Arabidopsis thaliana: one gene and its partners. The main gene of each other region encodes a partner of the protein of the gene in region 3 in a complex. Each region holds a gene or a part of one and is shown on either strand. Other genes may lie near its edges. The genes, in order: AT5G03220, MED32, MED21 and AT3G09180.

The links.
Region 1: MED21 (region 3) and AT5G03220 share a complex: the UniProt entries of both Arabidopsis thaliana proteins name them as parts of the mediator complex.
Region 2: MED21 (region 3) and MED32 share a complex: the UniProt entries of both Arabidopsis thaliana proteins name them as parts of the mediator complex.
Region 4: MED21 (region 3) and AT3G09180 share a complex: the UniProt entries of both Arabidopsis thaliana proteins name them as parts of the mediator complex.

The regions. Positions count from the first base shown.
Region 1 is NC_003076.8:766,090-770,632, forward strand, and holds AT5G03220 (Mediator complex, subunit Med7), read right to left. Parts: upstream 2,829-4,543; 5' UTR 2,674-2,828; intron 2,502-2,673; 5' UTR 2,496-2,501; coding exon 2,361-2,495; intron 2,280-2,360; coding exon 2,210-2,279; intron 2,046-2,209; coding exon 1,879-2,045; intron 1,792-1,878; coding exon 1,718-1,791; intron 1,589-1,717; coding exon 1,528-1,588; 3' UTR 1,346-1,527; downstream 1-1,345. Other genes in the region: AT5G03230 (senescence regulator (Protein of unknown function, DUF584)), read left to right, coding at 3,547-4,047. UniProt on the Arabidopsis thaliana protein: Component of the Mediator complex, a coactivator involved in the regulated transcription of nearly all RNA polymerase II-dependent genes.
Region 2 is NC_003070.9:3,970,921-3,975,263, forward strand, and holds MED32 (mediator of RNA polymerase II transcription subunit-like protein), read right to left. Parts: upstream 2,375-4,343; 5' UTR 2,322-2,374; intron 1,914-2,321; 5' UTR 1,892-1,913; coding exon 1,436-1,891; 3' UTR 1,066-1,435; downstream 1-1,065. Other genes in the region: LEW1 (Undecaprenyl pyrophosphate synthetase family protein), read right to left, coding at 1-23, 93-363, 521-568; AT1G11765 (Plant self-incompatibility protein S1 family), read left to right, coding at 2,988-3,401. UniProt on the Arabidopsis thaliana protein: Component of the Mediator complex, a coactivator involved in the regulated transcription of nearly all RNA polymerase II-dependent genes.
Region 3 is NC_003075.7:2,430,189-2,434,791, reverse strand, and holds MED21 (mediator 21), read right to left. Parts: upstream 2,541-4,603; 5' UTR 2,430-2,540; intron 2,148-2,429; 5' UTR 2,128-2,147; coding exon 1,837-2,127; intron 1,753-1,836; coding exon 1,701-1,752; intron 1,472-1,700; coding exon 1,395-1,471; 3' UTR 1,157-1,394; downstream 1-1,156. Other genes in the region: AT4G04775 (zinc ion binding protein), read right to left, coding at 3,120-3,437, 3,508-3,672. UniProt on the Arabidopsis thaliana protein: Component of the Mediator complex, a coactivator involved in the regulated transcription of nearly all RNA polymerase II-dependent genes.
Region 4 is NC_003074.8:2,816,613-2,822,271, reverse strand, and holds AT3G09180 (mediator of RNA polymerase II transcription subunit), read right to left. Parts: upstream 3,179-5,659; 5' UTR 2,995-3,178; coding exon 2,721-2,994; intron 2,627-2,720; coding exon 2,461-2,626; intron 2,289-2,460; coding exon 1,838-2,288; intron 1,748-1,837; coding exon 1,688-1,747; intron 1,605-1,687; coding exon 1,536-1,604; intron 1,443-1,535; coding exon 1,399-1,442; coding exon of another isoform or gene 1,380-1,398; exon of another isoform or gene 1,321-1,379; coding exon 1,176-1,320; 3' UTR 847-1,175; downstream 1-846. Other genes in the region: AT3G09190 (Concanavalin A-like lectin family protein), read left to right, coding at 1-622. UniProt on the Arabidopsis thaliana protein: Component of the Mediator complex, a coactivator involved in the regulated transcription of nearly all RNA polymerase II-dependent genes.

The DNA of each region.
Region 1 (4,543 bases), on a different chromosome or scaffold from region 3:
ACTAATGGAGATGCTCTTATTATCTAGTTGTGAATTTTGTAGAATTGACATATGTATTATACACAACTAGTTATGAATCTAGATTTTTTAAAAGATTTTATAAGGATTAAATCCACCTATTTTCATTGCTATATATTAACCTACAATTATATCTATAATGCATAATGCATTGGTTATTTATGTTTATTGTTTACAATAATGGCAATGAACGTCTATACAAAATTACAAAGAATATATCTAAACAAAAAGTGAATGTCCTTTTATATATGACCCTAGCTATAAAATTTATTCGAGTCCCCCACATGTTTTGTTATGTTCAGATTATTGTCCAACAGATTTACCAATTATAATATGTTTCCTGTTTCTACAATAATATCATCTACTTGTAATTTGTTGGCTATTGCATTTTCATTTTGTCCATCATGCATTTGGTAAAATATTAGTAGTATTTCGCAAGATGTACCAAGCGTCGTTAATATCTGGTCTCTTTTGTCCATTTTCGTCTTTCAGCATCAAGAGAATGAAAAAATTGGAGAGCTGAGTGACGTGTCGCGATACTGACGCCTGAAATATCCGTAATTTTCAAATTGAGATGAGGTCCAGTGGGCCAACTTATGTTGACAAGTGATATCTCACCTATTATTGGCCCACGTAATCCTTTTATTATCAGGTGTATTTTAAATTATATGTAATTATTTTGTATTATTATAATTTAAAGAAAGTCATATCAAACAGCTGAACACTAAATAAATAAATTATAATTCTTTTTTAAACACTATGTTTTTGTTTTATCTTGATATATGGTTGACAAAAATACAAGATTGATAAAGAAAATGAGTCATTGTGGAAACAAAAAATGATTCCACAATTTGCTATTTATTTTGATAGAAACTATTTAAGTAAGTGAACAAGGCATGTCCCTATTTAGTCCACGTGAAGTAATCGGACGTGTCAATTTTGTTTACTGAATAGAGGTGTAATAATCCGACGTGTCATTCATCTTTGGACTATCCAATAATGTGTGCACAGAGTTGGGCCATGTTCCTCTGTGGACAATCCCACTAGTAATCCTCATACACAATAGAGTCATATTATTGAAATTAACTGCAATGAGTTTTTAGATTGGATAAAACTAAAAGAAATGAAACTGGCTAATTGCAATTGGATAAACTGAACATTTATTTTTAATTTGTATTTCTATGAGTTTCTAAAACATCGGTTCAGGTGTCAATCAACTGCTTAAATCAAATTCTTTATTCGAGATATTGACAGATCCATTCACATCAAATGTATGTTCGATATATCATAGTTCCGTTTCGGTTGTATCACCGGTTTATTCTTTCTCTTTTCCTTCAAAAGAAAACCCGGTTAATTATGGTCTAATTAATACAATCCTCATACTATTCAGTCTTAGTTGATTGTCAAATTAACTTTGTTTTAGTGTTAACAAATTATAATAAGCTTCGAAGGTCAATAACAATAACAGACAGATTATTAATTGCTAATTTACACACACAAAAAAAGACTCTATTGACCATCTAAAGTGAGGTAAGCATCCTTTAGAAGTCGCTGTGCTTCTTCTCTTCTTCTGCGCACAACCAAAAACATCAAACGGACCCATAAGAACTACCAACAAAGTTTCTGAAAAATCTTTGAACAGATGATGGATTGATATAAGCACACCATTAAGTACAGTATACAAACAAAATATGCACACCTTTTAATGTCTTCCACAGCTTGTTTCCTCTGTTGAATTTGAAGTTCCATAATGTGAATAAGCGTTGCTCTCGCCTGGACATAAGAGAAGATGATCAAAACAGTGAAAACAAAAACTGATGAAATCATGTTGTAGTTAAGCGAAGATGAGATCTTCTTTACTTGGTGAGGCCTCAAGGAATTGAGAAGGTGATGCAAATTCTTGAAGATAGAAGAAATTTCACCAATCCTCTTCGCATATTGAGAAGGTCTGTCAACAAGAACATCAGCAAGCTCCAATATATGTAACTGTAGTTCTCTATTCAGTGACCTGAGTTCATTCTTGTAATCTACACACAAAGATATTTGAAACTTTCTTCAACGAAACAAAGAGGCAAATGAACTCATGTAATAAGTTTGATTCCAATTAAGGGAAGAACCAAAAACCGTACTCTAGAAAGCAAATAACAATTGGGTTTTGAGTTTGATTCACAAAGCTAAAACAATGACATACCAAGATTAGAATCTTTGGGATAAAGTTGAGGCACTCCTTGTTCTTCTAAGCTTGGAAGAACATCTTCAGTCTACGAACCAAAAAAAATGAAAACTACTAAAACACATAAAGATGAAGATTTTAAAGAGGGGGAAATGTGGAGGAGACTCACAGTATAGTTGCCTCCAAAACAGACGTAGGTGCCTTCAATCGGAGGAGGAGGTTCAGGAGCAGAATTAGGGTTTTCTGAGTAATCCTTGTAGAGTCTGTAATATGGTGGAGGAGGCGGATACGTAGCTGTAGCCATTATTCCCTACAGATCCAAATAAAAAACTAAGCAAAATCAGTAACAGATTCCTAAAATTAAGGTTTCTAATCGATGCAACAAACGATTCAATCCAAAATCTAAGACTTTACTCCAACGATTCTGGATAAAATTTGCAACCATGGTACAAAGAGAAATTAGGGTTAACAAAAACACGAACCTATTGGGAATGCAGAATCGGAAATTATAACCAGACGAGAATAAGATCGAAGAAGCTTTTGATTTTGCTTTGGAGAAGACGGCGTAGAGCAAGAGGTCAATAATGACGAAACGAGTTTTGATTTTCTCGTAAATTTTCGGTTACGTGTTCGGACGGTTCGTATAAGTCTGGTTTCTTTTGGTTTAGTTTCGGTTTAATTAAAACAATGGCTTTTCAGTTTAATTCGATTTCTGCTGTTTGGATGTGATTAATCACCCCACTAATGATGTTATTCTTACGTTTTTACATTTAAAAAATAGTAAATATTTTTACTTTATAATAAATAAATATATTTTTTGTGTATTCTAGATTTTTTTGTCAATTTAAATAGAAATTAACAAATATTTTAATAACAAAAAAAAATTAAAACAGCTAAAAAAATCATATCTAACAACATTAAATCTTAAGATAACTTAAATTAAATCAAAGACGAAGATAAAAATTCCATTAACATCATCATTTTGATCATAAACTCATAAAGTTTTTACTATTTAAGAAAAAGAAAAACAAAGGACGAGTGAAACAAAAAAAGAGAGCTCACGATAAGAACGTGAGACTTGCCACACCTTATAAACTTTTTTTTTTATCTTCTTTTGTACTTTTGTCGTTTACTGTGTAAGTCATAAACTCACATAAGTTTAACCCAATGAGAGAGCTTATCTCTTTACTACATTTCTCTATAAAAATGATCATCTCAACACATTTCTCCTTCAATCTCAAATTTCACAAAAACCCTCTCAGATTTTTTCTACAAGCTGATCAAAACCCAGAATCCAGTTTTCATAAAAACATCATCTTTCTTTTATTCTTCTTTACACGCTCTGTTTTTCATCAATGGCGTCAAGGAAGCTTTTTTTTGTCAAACCTAAATATATCTATCCAGAACCAAAACCAGAGATGTCCGATGAGAATGTCTTTGAATTCGACGAATCTGATATTCATAACTTAGGCGATCATCAATTGCCGAATTCATTCGACGCGAAAAGATCGATATCAATCTCTCGGTTACGGAGAAAACCGACGAAAACCGGAGATTCAGGTAACCGGGAGATTACAAAGACCGGTTCGCTTCCGGTTAATATCCCCGATTGGTCTAAGATCTTGAAGAGTGAGTATAGAGGTCATGCGATACCTGACGATGACAGTGACGACGATGACGAGGATGATGACGATAGCAACGACGGTGGGAGACGGATGATTCCGCCGCACGAGTATTTGGCAAGACGGAGAGGATCGTCGTTCACGGTGCACGAAGGAATCGGTGGGACGGCGAAAGGAAGAGATCTAAGGCGATTGAGGAACGCGATTTGGGAGAAGATTGGGTTTCAGGATTAGTAATATAATAAGTATGTAATTAATTATAACTCTCTATAGGTAAACTTTTAATTACTTAGAGATCTTAAGTAAGGACTTGGTGTTTTTTTATTGGAGGGGTTTAGAGGATCGTTATAGTTTCGGTCCGAAGGAGAATTTTTCCGATTTCCTTTTGGCGTTATTTTTGTTTTTTGGAGTTTTTGATCATCGTCTATTTTTCTTTTTCTTTTTTGGATATGATCAATAATATTTTATATTTTTGTGTGTTTCAAATATGTTGAATTTTGGTTGTTGTGTGGTTACTTCAATTTTTACAGAAATCTACAGAGAAATAGGCAGTGGCGGAACTAGAACTTGCAGCTCTAGGGGTCAAAATGTATAAAGGAATGATCATAGGGGTCAATTTATGTATTTCATTGGTGTTAATTTAAAAACTGTAGCAAAAAAATAACTAAATTTCATAATTCCATGGGGGTCATATGAAGAAGATAAACGAATGCTAAGATCTATTGAACTC
Region 2 (4,343 bases), on a different chromosome or scaffold from region 3:
ATCCTTGGATTTCTTCAATAAACCTAAAGAAGCCAACATCAGCAATCATTTAATGAACGTGAAAAAACGAGATAAGTAGCTAAAGCATGTACCTTGAGAGTCAAATAGACCAACTTGTTTAACCCCAATGGTGGTTAGCCATTGCAAAAGCTCAACAACATTGGCAACATCTTGAGCTGCTTCGATGTCCACTACAACAGCTAGACACCGGAGTTTCTCAAGATCGATGGAACCGTACTTTTTATTCAATCCTAACGTTATGGCATAGCTTTCTATTGCCTCAAATATGCCAGAGACAATGTACCATAAGCTCACAACAATGTGTATAAAACGCCATAGCAAATTAAGACCAAGATCACCAATCTGTGGAATACAAAAATTCAACAGAAACAAAGTTATGGCTTGAAGACTCAAATTGGCAACACCAAATTGTTCTTAAACACTTAATTCCATAGGCCTTGTTGAAGCATTAATGAGCTAAAGCCTGTCAATGATCAAGGAATACAAAAAAAAATCTCACTTGACCAATCCAAGCACTGAGGAGCCGCATCGATTGATTCGAATCCATATATCTGAAAAATCAGAAAACACACAACAGAATCAGAAGAAATTTGAACAAAAGGGTTGTCAGAAATCAGAATTAACAAAGAGAAGAGAGACGTACACAAAAAGTGACTGTCTCCGTAAACAACGAAGGTGTTTGCTGCGTGTGTTAGGGAGATGTTTCCAAACCAACCAATCGAACTTTCCTAAAACCCAAAATTCCTTTTCATCGGAATCGGAAAAGGAAGAATCTTTGGAGGCGAGGTTAGAAAAAGTGAGACACTTTTGAAGATGATCTTATTAGCCTCTGTATCCTGGTTTTGGCGATTCGTTTGCTTAAACCTTAGCAAAAAATCACTCTAGTTTGCGAAACTAACTCTGTTATCTGAGAGGAGTGTGAGACGTCTCGGGTTCAAACCCTATAACTTAAGTCTTAAGTGTGTTTCTAACTTTTCTTGTCACGGTTTTGTTGTGAGTGTTCATGTTTTTGTTACGTTTATCACGATTTTGCTGTGAACGTGAGGTAATCAAAACTCAAAATTATACTAGTTCGTTTACATTTTTAAACTCTTGATAATCATGGTTAATACAAAACCAAAAACACATCATGTACAAGATCAAAATTAGTATTCTTTTTGAAACAACAGAAACATAATAACATATGAAGAATCACACAAAAAAAGAACAGCTTCTTTACTTGAGATTCAGAATAAAAAGCCCAATATTTAGTAAGAGTCATAAGTCCTAAATGATACCCCCAGTGTTGCTTCTAGCTTGGCTCAATCCCATGAAATAACAGAACATAACACTGATTAGGCCACTCTTCCCATCACAACGACTGACTCGAGAGTTATGGAGCTGCGGTTGTCGAACTTAACACTAACTAGGCACGCTATTGAGTCGAGTCTTCAGAGAATCTAGAATCAAACCCGGTAGAGGATGAATGAACAGAACCAGGAGCTACACCAGAGCCACGTTGCAGCTCAAGAACAAGCCATCGAACCGCTCTACTCATCTGTTCAAGCCTTACTGCACTAATGGGAGGGAGACTAGTCGCAGCACCAGTCACCGCTGCTGGTGCTTGGCCACCTGCTGCAGTAGTAGTTAAACCAGTAGCCTCATCAACTAAACACTCAGATCCAATTCTCTGCTTAACTGACTCCACAAACTCCTCTGCTTGATCACAAGCCACACGGAACAGTTCCCATTTCTCCTTGAAATTCTCCAACGCAGTATCAGTGAGCAAAGCTTTTTGTCCACCTGCACTCTCTTTAGACTCAAGAACACCAGCTGAAGCAAGAACAAACTTCTCATAAGCTTTGTTCAATGAGTCCACAATGTTATCCATTTGATCCCTCCCCTTCAAATAACTGCTCAAACCAAGTATCAATCATGAGATTTCAAGTTAAACAAGAAAAAACTGCAAAAGGAATCAAGTAAGATCCCAGCAAAAGTATCTGGAAATAAGAAACCCTAAAAACCTCAAAAAATCTTAATTCGTTCTCGTTAACGCTACACATAGAATGAGAGAACTCAAAACCTCAGGGAAAGAATAAGATGCTACGGTAGCAATGGAAGCTAAATGATCAAAAAGATTACATCTTTGAGACAGAAATTTAACGAAATTGCAAAACTCGCGATTGCTTTCGCAAACCTAGGGTTCAAATTCACGGCATAGAATCCGTAAACTCGTGAAGGAATTGAATCATTAGAGCAGTTTTAGACAGAATCTAAAAAAATCAGCCCAAAACCGCCGGAGATAAAGAGGAGAAACTTACCGGCGATGAACGGAGAGTCCGATTTGTGTCACTTTCTTTCTTCTTCTTCTTCATTGTAATAGTCTGGTTAGGTTTATATGGTAAAAATTGAAATTAAGATTGGTTAATACAAACCGGACCGACATAAACCGGATTGGTCATTTGGATTTTTTTTTTAATGTTAAAATTCCATATACATACAATTTAATTTCTCATCTTTTAAATATGTGTGTTTAATGTTATAAAATAAAACATCTAATCGAAATCAAGACGATTTTAATCAACTTTAGTGTTAATATAATAATAAAGTTATCACAATTAAACGATAGATATGTATATACTAATCGAATTATTTATCTGTTTGTAACGAATTGGCAGAATATAATAGGTAGTATTTGGTAAATGTATCACGTCAAATTACTGTCCGTGTTGAAAACAAATGTTCTTTGGAAATATTTACTCAAAGATCTAAATCCATATATTGTTCTCCACTCAACCATCCATATCTATTGTTGTGTTTGAAACGATTTGATACCGCAAATCATTAATAGAAAATACTAATAATAAGAGAGCAATATATAATAAGAACGTAAATTCAAAAATAGCATACATATATGTCTATATATACAATACCGTAAATAAAAAATTACTCCGATGACAAAACCTCTAAGCATCTAGAAAGAAAAAATGAAAAATACTTCAATCTTTCTAGTTGTCTTTGCCCTATGCATGATTAGCAATGCATATGGCCATTCGAATCCATTTAAAGGAAAAAAGACGTCGTTGTTATTCAGGAACAGTCTTTCTCACAACAAATGGCTCAAGGTACGTTGTAAATCTGGGGACAATGATGTTCGTGAAAGATATATGAAACCTGGAGAAGATTGGGGTTTTAGTTTCCACGATGACGTTATGGGAGAAACACTTTTCTGGTGTACAATGTATAAAGGAGCTGATTACAAGGTACAAAAGAAGTTTGACGCATATGTTCAAGACAAGAGAATGCCTCATGGTGGCTCGTATAATTATGTTGCTCAAGAAGATGGGATCTATCACAGTACTTTGATACACCGTATGCGGAAGATGTATGATTGGAATTAGGGATGTTGGATAAAACTCTCCTATGTTTATCCAATATTTATAAAATGCTTATTCAAATCTTTGATTTGATATAGTTGTAAAGTATTATTATTACTCTTTGTTTTCATGTAAGAATCACTCTTTACATTCAAAGAAAAGTGTAAGGGAGAAGTTTCAGAATGATTCAAAGAAGGACAATTTGTTTATGTGCATGTTATCCTCATGTCAATTTAAGGAATTCGTCAAGAACAAAAAATAACATGCCATTATTAAAAAAACATTACGTTTGCGCCACAAGCTCTTGACATTGCTTAATTACTTGTTCTCGCCTTTGTTCGAAGTGTTTTTGTTTGTAAGATCATATATCAGCTATACATCCTCCTTGCATTTATTATAGTGCCTAGATTTTTTTTTTTTTTTTTTTGACATTCAGTGCCTAGAATTTTGGTTTATGTAGATAGAAAAGTGACACTCGACGCAAATTCGAAAGAATGCCACCGAAAAAAATGGAACGAATGATGTTTCGCTATGTTGGATGCTTCAGATCCCATATAACAACACTACTCTCAAAATTCATAAACTCTCAAAACATATTAATTTAGTAGCATCACGAAAATACATGTTGTTCTCAAATCATTACAATAACTTCTACTCTTATTAGCTGAAAAGTATAACCTTATGTTTTTGTAAAAAGATTGCTAAACGTTATATTTGTATATCTTTTCAGTTTGTTAATGTCATTAGAACGAAGTGTAAAATCGCTTCAAGATTTGTTATTCTAAATGTATTTTAGAACAAATATTCTGAACATTAAATTATTTTCAACAAAATTTATTTTGAATAACAAATAACTTGTCATGGTCGTAACTCTTTTTTTTCATTCTCTAGATTGAATCAAAAATAATTTTGTTTTGTAGTATAAAACATTTTTGGTCTTTTATTCACCGTTTTATAGAACATTAA
Region 3 (4,603 bases):
CTTTTGTCTGGGATATAGTAGTTAGCACCAATCGTCTTTCTCTTACGTGGATTGTCTGCCACAACTTCAGCTTTAGCCACCTCTGCTACAACCACTTCTGCCACCTTTGCTACAGCACCCTCTGCTACAGCCACCTTTGCCTCAACGTCTTCCTCTTCAACAATGTCCTGTGGGTTTCGATTTACGGGTTCGATTAGTTTCAAGAGGATGCAGTCAATTCTGATAACTAGATCATCAGTTTCCAAAAGATCAAGAGGTTTTCGGTATATCATTGGTTCTTGTTTATGGTTTGGCAGGATGTATCAGGTTCTACTAGCTGCAGGGGATTCAGAAGGTGCCAAGGCATTGATATAAAAAATTCCAATAGATGATAAAGATGTACAACATATCATCGAAGAAAGTCGGTCTGCATTTTCTCAAGCACCCAACAAGAAGAAACCTAAAAAGAATATGAGTGTTTCATCAACAAACTACCGTAAAACATCTATAAGTTAATATTGTTTGGGACCGAGAAAATTAATTAATTTATGGATAAATTAATAATTATCAATTTATAAAGAGATTTTACAAATTTTATAATTTCTTACAAAAATTTAATTTTAAAAGTGATCTTTTCTTTATAATCAATAATCTTTCTTAATCCGATTATAAGTAGAAAACAATTATTAAGTTTAAAAAAAAAATACAATTTTTTTTTTTCACATAGTAAAAGTATTAGAATTGAACTTTACAAAAAATTAATAAAAATTAAAGAAAAACAATAGTAGAGTCATATTTCACTAAATATTTTACATATAATATTTATATAAATATATATATTGGTAAATTTATACAATTGTTAATTTATAATATTGATCGGACTGGCTAAAGTTTTCTTTTCATCCTAAAGCTTCATCACGCAGACAAAAGATTGTTGGACTCTATACAAGTCTTGTGAGAGAGCGCAAGAAGGATGATGAGTTAGGATATCTTCACATGCTTGAGTACAAATACACAATCAAGATCCGGTTTTGGACCACAACTTATGGACTGGTCATTTCTTTTCAGCAACTTGGATTGAATGTGACAGATACCAGAGTTCATAGTAATTTGACCATCATAGTAATTTGACCAACACTGCCCGGAGAATCAAACATGATGTGTCAATCATGGCCTGTAATTGTGAAAATGATAAAGTGGATTCTCTGAGATTGTAATCAGACAGGTCAAAAAAGTGTAAGGTTAAAATAATGGTTCTGTTGTTGTGAGCTAACTAACATTCTTGTAATTGCTTCTACAACAATTTTTTGGTGAACCAACTTAGAATAGATATTCCTTATGAACCTAAAAGATAATTGTTGCTGAACCAAATCATATAGTTTCTAAATCAGCTCGACAAAAGGTAAACAAGCATTTCATTCAGGTTTCTTCATGTTCAGGCAATTGTCAGCAGCTTGTCCAAACAGCTCTTGTACTTGCTTTAGCTCCTTCTCTGTCACAAACAAGGTCACACCATTAACATCAGCTCAATCGTCAGAGGCAGTTGCAAGGGAAAACAAAAATTCCAAATTCTAGAACCACTAAAGATAACATCTAACCATAGTGCGTGTATCAACAAGAAAGTATACAAATTGAAATTTGAAGTGCATAATGAATCTGCTCCAGTTACAGACAGATAAGACACACCAACAATGAAGTGAAAACCTAAGATCGTTTTTTACCTGCAGCCTCTAGTTGCTTTTGGAGTTCTTGACCAACAAGATCATTTTCCACCTGAAGAAAAAACAGGACAAAGCGGTTAGACAAATAGAAGTAATCGGATTCAAGAACTCGACATATCGGTGTGACTTGTTTGACCTGGAGTTCAGCGATTCTTTTGAGCTGAGCACCTTCACCACCTTCTGACAAAGGAAGTGCAGCAACCAAAGCATCAAACTGTTTAGCAGCCTTAACTAAGCCAGCACTGAGCTGCTTAGGTTGCTCAGGAAAAGGCGTAGCATCATCAGTAACCGTAGTTGTAGCGGGTGGTTCAGGATAATTAGGTGAAAGCTGGACTGGTGGTGCATCCCTTTGCAGTGTCCCAAAAGCATTGAAAGTGATAGCAGCAATCGTATTCACTTGTTCTTGCAACTGTGAGATTATATCCATCTTCCAAAACCTTAAAAGACCTTGAACAAGTATAAAATTTACAGTAATCAATCACATATTAGACTTTTAACATATACTCAAAAGCAAGATATAACGTTCAGAGAGGATCTAGGAGATTCAAATGGCACAAAATTGGTGGTCAATTCCTGAATTTATCAAACAAGATTCTCAACAAAACTAGTGCCAAAGCATAAATCACTTAAAACCAGTTGGATTTCAGAGAGGATCAAAATGGCGAATCCTCAGGGAAAAAATTGACCTAATCGATTTAACGAAGCATAAGCTTTAACGAAGAGACTTACCCGTCGACAAGATTTCTCCGGCGACGCAGAGTCTGTTGGGTGTGGCAACGACAGATAATCGCTGCGAATTGGGGCGTTTTGTTGTTCTTAATAAACTTCGTTCTGCGTTTTGGGTTTGGGCTCGAAGATTTTTAAAATGGGCTTTTAAGGTGGCCTTTCCTTTGGATTTTTGGGCCCTAATTCCATAGAATTCGTAAGGAACGATTTCTGTTGTTTCTTTAAACCTACTGCTTTAATTAATTGACAACTAATTAAAAAAAAAAACACTGAAGTAGAATTGGGTGGCTGATTTTTGAGCCATAAACTATTTCGATTCTCAGCTTTCACCCCCGGACTTTTGGGCCCTTAAATTTTCACCATCAACTTTCATATTCCTCAAAATTACATCATCTACTTTCGAATTCATGCTTAAACATACATTTCCAATTGAACCATTCATTTAACCGGGATTAACCACAAATCTGCGTTTACTGTACCGCGATTGCGATTAACCTGACTAATACCCAGACCCGTTAAGAAAACGACGTCGTTTTCATTTCGTTTAACTCATCAAAAAGAGAAAGAAAACGACGTCGTTTTCATTCTTCTTCTTCTGCAAAATCGATTTGGTCGATTAGGGTTCTTCATTCGACAATTTTATAACAGAGACTAATCCAATACTACAATTTCACTCCAAAACCTCAACAACACCTACACTCTTCCCCAAAGCCATACAATAGATGCAACAATCACAACAGCAACCCCTACAGTCTTCAAAGCTGACTTTGCCATAACATGTCCTAGCTCTTCCACATTCTCCTTCATGGTCAAGAGTTCACCCTCCATCTTCTTAATCAGCTCTTCCTCCATCTGCTTAGCGTTTTTATTAAGGAGCTCCATATTAGCCATCACGTTCATTCTGAGGTCACTAATATTCTCTACAACTCTCTTACACTTCTCATTTACCATCTTAATTTCGTCCAAGAGAGCTTCATCAACCCATTTGAACAAGTGCTCTTCATTTTCTCTCTATAAAACATAATTTCCAATCATTTACTCCTTCAATCAATCAAATATATCACAAAATCGAAATGTGTACCTTCATTGCTATCGCACAACGGTAGAATCTCCGGTATGGATTCTCCTTTGTTTTCGATGTGAATGTAATGATCTCTTCTCCACACCAACATTTCGAGGGGACACCAGGAGGACAGACACGAAATCCTGAACTGGAAGCGGATGAGTAGTAGCTGTTGGTGCTCATTTTCTTATAAAATTGTCGAATGAAGAACCCTAATCGACCAAATCGATTTTGCAGAAGAAGAAGAATGAAAACGACGTCGTTTTCTTTCTCTTTTTGATGAGTTAAACGAAATGAAAACGACGTCGTTTTCTTAACGGGTCTGGGTATTAGTCGGGTTAATCGCAATCGCGGTACAGTAAACGCGGATTTGTGGTTAATCCCGGTTAAATGAATGGTTCAATTGGAAATGTATGTTTAAGCATGAATCCGAAAGTAGATGATGTAATTTTGGGAATATGAAAGTTGATGGTGGAAATTTAAGGGCCCAAAAGTCCGGGGGTGAAAGCTGAGAATCGAAATAGTTTATGGCTCGAAAATCAGCTAACCCAAGTAGAATCGATACTGATTGTGTCTAGTGCTTTAATTATCTCTAGTAGATCTTCAAGGTTTATGCCTTGTCCCTAGTACATTTTGCTATCTCGGTCTGGTGGGTGAGGTGTGATGGTGTTTGTACTTATGTCTCTGGTTTCAGCGGCTTCTTGCTTTCCTCTCTGTCGATTTACTATTAGTTTTGACTTCGGTGTAAAATCTATCCGATCTTATTGGTGTTTCCGGCGTTCACATTTTTTAGGAGAAGTTTAGGTCTTATTTTTCCCATAGTTTTTTATTTTCTTTTGAATTTTGTCTCTTGATTCAATTTCGTTGGTTTAAAATGTTTCCTTATATATGTTTTTGGTTTTACTTCCTTTTTTTCAGCTAAGTTTCTCAAAATATTCCGTTGGTCTGTTGGCTTATGTATTTCAACTTGTATTCTACTTTAGTTTCTAATATAATTCAGATGAGAAAAAAAAAGAATTAAAACTGATTTCAGTGTACCAAACTAAACTGAAATGAATGAACCAACAAATTTTAAAATAAAATATTATTAAGTTTTTGAAATAAAAGATCAAAC
Region 4 (5,659 bases), on a different chromosome or scaffold from region 3:
GACAGTTGTTGCTTTTGAGTTTGATATCTCCAAGAGAGGAAACCGTGCAAGAGTCTTAATTGGTAGACCTGAGTCTGCCAAAATTAGAAACCTTTCGTTTGTGGGTGACTTGATGATGGATGATGGAGGGATTTTGAGCTGTATGATTGATTATGAGGCAAGTTCTAAGAGAATGAGGGTTCGTTTCAGAAAACGTGGTTCGATAAAGATGTTTGATCCGTTCTTCTCTTTCTCGGTAGACTTGGAGAAGCTTTGGAAAGGTGGTGAAGTCATGGTGGGTTTAAGCTCTGCTAATGGGAACTCTTCCAAGCCACATTTTCTCCATTCATGGAGCTTTGAAATATGGCATCTTGATCCGATATGGGTGCAACCAGCGCCATTAGGACCAAATGAAGGTTTGAAGCCGGACGTTTCCACGGAAATGGAAGAGGGCCGAGAAAATAGTGAGTGTATATGGAGAATGCTTGGTGCTCTGGTCTTGGCTGCAGTATGTGGAGCCGTAGGGGCAATGTCAGCTATGTATCTTTGGACTATTTGCAGTGTTAGGCGGTCAATGGCCGTGGTTCCAGAGGAATGTGCAGTGAGCATTGTGGTCGTTGCAGTTAAAGATGGCAAGAAGTAATGAGAAGTTTGTTTGGCTTTGGCTTTGGTTTAAGAAGGTTGTCTTGTTGTAGTGTAAATGTAGTACCTTCTTCCACTTCCTCTGGTGTTATCTTTATTTAGTGTTTTCTTTTATTTGCTTCGTTAGTTGCAGGTTTCACATGTACAATCTCTATGAAAGAAGCCGTAAGCTTATTTGATCTTGCAAAATAACTTAATTTATTGATCTTGCATTTAACATGTTTTATATTTCTGGATCGGAAGCAAAAATCAACACCCACTGTCTTTTTCTCACTTTGATGCTGACTGCAACAGAGTAATGTGAACCGAGTTAAAAAAAAAGGTCTCTGTTCAGTCATCTCGTGAACAAAGATCAAATCTCTAGAAAGAAGACAACATTCACATGTTACCAGAGAGTAGAAAGAAAGAAAGTTAATCTAAACCTCAACATGGGACATCAACAACAAACAAGAGGTATATCAAGGAGAAGAGCAGATACTAAAGATCCATACAAAATGTTATTAGAACTTATTTCTAACCTTTCTTTTAATTGATCCTCCCTAATCACTAGAGTACTAGGTATCATCTTGAGAGCAACTGGAGTGGTAAGCTTCACAAACGTCCAGGTTTAATGCAAGAGGCAATTCTTGGTAAGCGCGGTGTAAAGGAGGTAAGATTAACGCAGACTTTTTATCCATTGCTAATAGCCTTCCACATTTACTGCATCATCAGAAGAGAAATGAAAAGTTAGTCCACGGGAAACAAATGTATTAGAAGAATTACGGAGAGTCTGCATACGTGCAAGGTTTGCTAAATACGGATTCAAAACTGCATATCCATAGCTGCATAAGAAGAAGAGAAAGGTGTTAATTAACTTCCAGACAAAAAAGGTTCATGTTATCCAGAGACTGAAGTGTGCTTGTAAAATGCTTTACCAGAAGAGAGTAGAGAGCTGTTCCAGTACCAAAGCCGAGGAAATATTGCAAGGCTGTAGCAGCATGTTCCTGCAAGAAAAATCTAATTAATGCAAGTCCCCAATGAATCAAATTTGTTAAACTATATATAATATCAATCGCATCTTTATTACCGTTATGTGTTTGTAAACATGATAAACCGAGAAGCCTCTCGCATGTAAGTAGCTGCCTCCCTGTAAGAAAGGGATGAAGCTAAAACATGAGAACTTAAACAATTTCACATGAGAATCAGTATATTTTAATGCAAGGAGGTTGGAAGTGACCTCATCTGGGGAGAAGAAAGCAACTGCATCTGGATCAACAGAACCCGCTGGACTCAACGAGACTATAGCTCTGAATAGAGAAGGAAATGATAACTCAATAACAGCAATCTTGTCGACAACTTCAGTCTGTAACCCTGATCTCAGCTTGCTAGAACTCTGGAAAATAGGTTTCGATGCTTCTGTAGGATCATCACTACCTGACCCAGGTAAAGAGTTAGCTCTTTTAAGCCAGTTCAATCGTCCATAAGTAGACACCTTCACACTCGGAACCAGCTTCTCTAAACGCGATTGTATATCTGGCAATGTTTTGTAATCAACCGGCTCCTCTCTTCCATTTTCTAATAGCAAATGGGAGGCACGATGTTTTTTTGAGCTTGGTTCCATCTTTAATCCATCATCAATATGAGGGAAGAATCGTCTTTTCTGATCCGTGAAGGCCTTGAGAGCTAACCTACAGTCATTATACACAACGCGAGAAAATGGAGAATGCATGAGATTCAGTAGAATTGGTTAGCTGATGAAACTCCAAGTTGGTACCACCAAGCTTCACTAACAGCCCTAATATGCAGACTCGAACCTAAACCCTAAGTATGCTTTAAAATGATTAGCAACGAATCTGATACCTGGTTCTATCAACAGCAGAAGCACCAGCTTGGCCAGCAAGCTGTCTTTTCCAAGCATAAGCAACGACTGCACCATCTGGACAAACCAAAGGCATGTGAAGACCCCAAGAGTTACTTCTTGACCTAAGTGATTCAGTTAACACTCCAGATTCTTCCAATTTCTTCCCTGAACCAAGCAATAAACATTGATCGATCCTTAAAAGCCCTAATCTAGAGAATCAATCAATACTAATGAAAATGATTCAGTTTTGGTTCAGCACCTATTAAGCGAAGATCCTGAAGATGTTGACGCATGGAGGCGTCTTCTCTGAGAAAGAGCTGAAGAGGCATGTCTGTGTGACGAGGTTGCGAAGCCACGAACATAGCTTCAAGGATACGGTCAGCGCCGAGGCGGATATCGGCGATAACCCTAGCCGCTTGATTGAGTCGTTCCATGGCCTGAGCCACCTGTTTCGGCGGCGCGTCCGATTCAGACTGATTGTTCGCCGCCTCGGCCGGATTCTGGAGAAGTTGGGACTGGTGTAGCGTCTGCATAAGCTGTGATTCAAGCACACTCTTTCGATTTCAATGAAATTGATCTTCTTGACGACGACGGAAGGAGAGGAATGTTTCTGGACTCGGAGAATTTCACGTTCAAATCTCAATCTACTGTAACGCCAGACGCAATTTTGTAGCGTTTGCGTTTCAAAGGCGTTTTTGTTGATATGCTTGCTTCTGCTCCTTCACGTCTTATTTTGTTTAATTTATTCCACTCTGTTAAATTGAGTTTTACTCCATTAAGCAATGCTTTATGGCTCATGTTGGACTGAAAATGTATTTTGTAATCTCAATGTTTGTGGGACTTTTAGTTTTTAGCCCATATGTACAGTTTGTTCACTTTAATATTTTTTTTTTTTTAGTTTGTACATGTAAAAAAATGGGAAATTTGCAAATATAGCCAACAAAAAAATTATAATTGCAAAACTAACACTTCAACCAATATGTATTGAACTTTATGCAATATTGACAAACTTAACCCGTGCGTGAGCACACGCGCTTATTCTTCTTCTTCTGAGTTTTCAATCGATAACTTCTATGTATTACTCTGTAAAAATTCAAATAGAGGTGAACATTCAGAGAAGTTACAGTAAGAAAATCTGAAAATTCTGGGCTTTAAAAAGCGACACCCGGGAAAGTTTCGAAGAGCAGACTGCGTGTGCAATCCGAGTGACGATTCTAGAGTTTACGAAGATTGAATTTGTGGGTTTCGATTTGGGGACTGTGGAGGCTTCGATTTCTGGCAATCGGACTGCATAAATCTTCTGCAATTGGAGGAGGAGCCTATCTAAGCATCCGAGTTTCGTACAACACTTATGTTGGCTCTTTTCTCAATCGAGGGTTTTTGATTCCGTTGAGAGTACTTGAGTGAGTTTTGTTGTACGGGAGTAGAGGTGTTTATATCTCCGTCGTCTCCACTGTAACACTCGAATTTCTGTGGCAATTGGTGTCGGCGAAGGGATTCAGCCAAATTAAGGTATGAAATGCCATTTTTTGGCTTTTGGGAAAATCTTTTTAATTTGTGTTGAAGAGCTTGAATAGCATAAACTCGGATTTGAGTAGCTTTAGGTAGGGAATCTGCTTGGTTAATACGATATTCATTTGTAATTGTTATGAAGGTTTAGGATTTAACTCTACTTCAATGTAATCCATTTGTGTTTGTTGATAGTAACGGAAGCTACTCAAATTGGTTGTATGTGTTAATGACATTTTTAGTTTTATTTGCAGTATTGAATAGCATAAACTCGGATTTGAGTAGCTTTAGTTAGTGAATCTTTGCTGGTTAATCCGATATTCCACTAATTGGTGTTATGAAGGTTTAATATTTAACTCAACTTCTATGTAATCCATTTGTTGTTGTTGATAGTAACGGAAAGCTGAGGCTATATTGGTTGAGTCTGTTAATAACATATATTTACATCTAAGATTTATATATTTTGTATTTGTGTAAGTAGCAGCATCAAAAAAGTGATACGTGGACATTTGTATTTCAGTGTATCTGTTCCATGGGGGATGTAGAGTTGCCAAAGCGTTTGTTTCGGCTAGGTTCTGAACCTGAGGGCCGAAAGAGGATAAACAATTACTTTACTCTTAGGTGGATTGAGATCATCAAGGCTGCTCTAGATCAAAACCATTTGAAGCAGCTGGAGGGTTCGCAGTTTGGATTTCTGTTGCAAATGGGGACGCATCAGTTTTCTGTAATGTTCTTACATTACATTCTATCTAGGCAGTTGGTGACAGATAAGAAGTATGAAATGTGGTGGGTGTTTGCAGGGAAGCCAATTCGATTTGCCATTGATGATTTTGCACTTGTTACCGGGCTTAACTGCAGCAAATCTGGATTCAACAAAAAGGATGCAAGGACAAGAGGGAAAATGAAAGCGGTTCAGAATCCTACGAGGTTCTACAAGGCATTATTTGGGAAAGAGAGAAAGCCTACTTCACAATGGATTGTTGGGAAGCTATCTATGGGGAAGAAATACAAAGACCCGTTGACTCGATTTCGCCTATCGTTGCTGCTACTAGTTGATGGGATTCTTTGCCCGACATGTTCGCGAACTATCATCGATCCTGACCATGTAGAGATGGTAAAAGATGTAGAATCCTTTCTTAAATATCCTTGGGGTAGAACTTCGTTTCTCGCGACTATTCGAAGCGCCAAGCAAAGAACAGCCAAGGAGCTTGCACAAGATACCACAGCTATACAAGGGTTTCCTCATGCCTTAGTTCTTGTGACAGTGGCATGTTGTCCAGCTATTATATACACGGCAGACTCGGTGTTTAACATTCTAGACCCAACCATTCCAGTCGAGAAGCTGGTTCAGTATGTATTGGGGCTGAGTTTGAACATCAATGTGCATGATGCACGAACTATCGACCAAAGTGGCATGGTAATTCTATTGTTGTAAAGCTTGTTCTTTGTATTTGGTGTAGAAAGATTGTGTACTTGACTTATCTATTCTATTGACTCTTAACTTTTAGGACCGGGTAACCTCACTGCTGAATGAAGAGCTCCTGGCGAAAGAGATCGACTTATCTTTCTCAGATGAGGAGGATGATGAAGAAGTTTCGCATCTGCTATCATTGATAATGGAGGAACACCCATTCGAGCATAACAGTTGGAGTGGTGGTGTTGATGCTAATGATGTTGAACATCCATCTG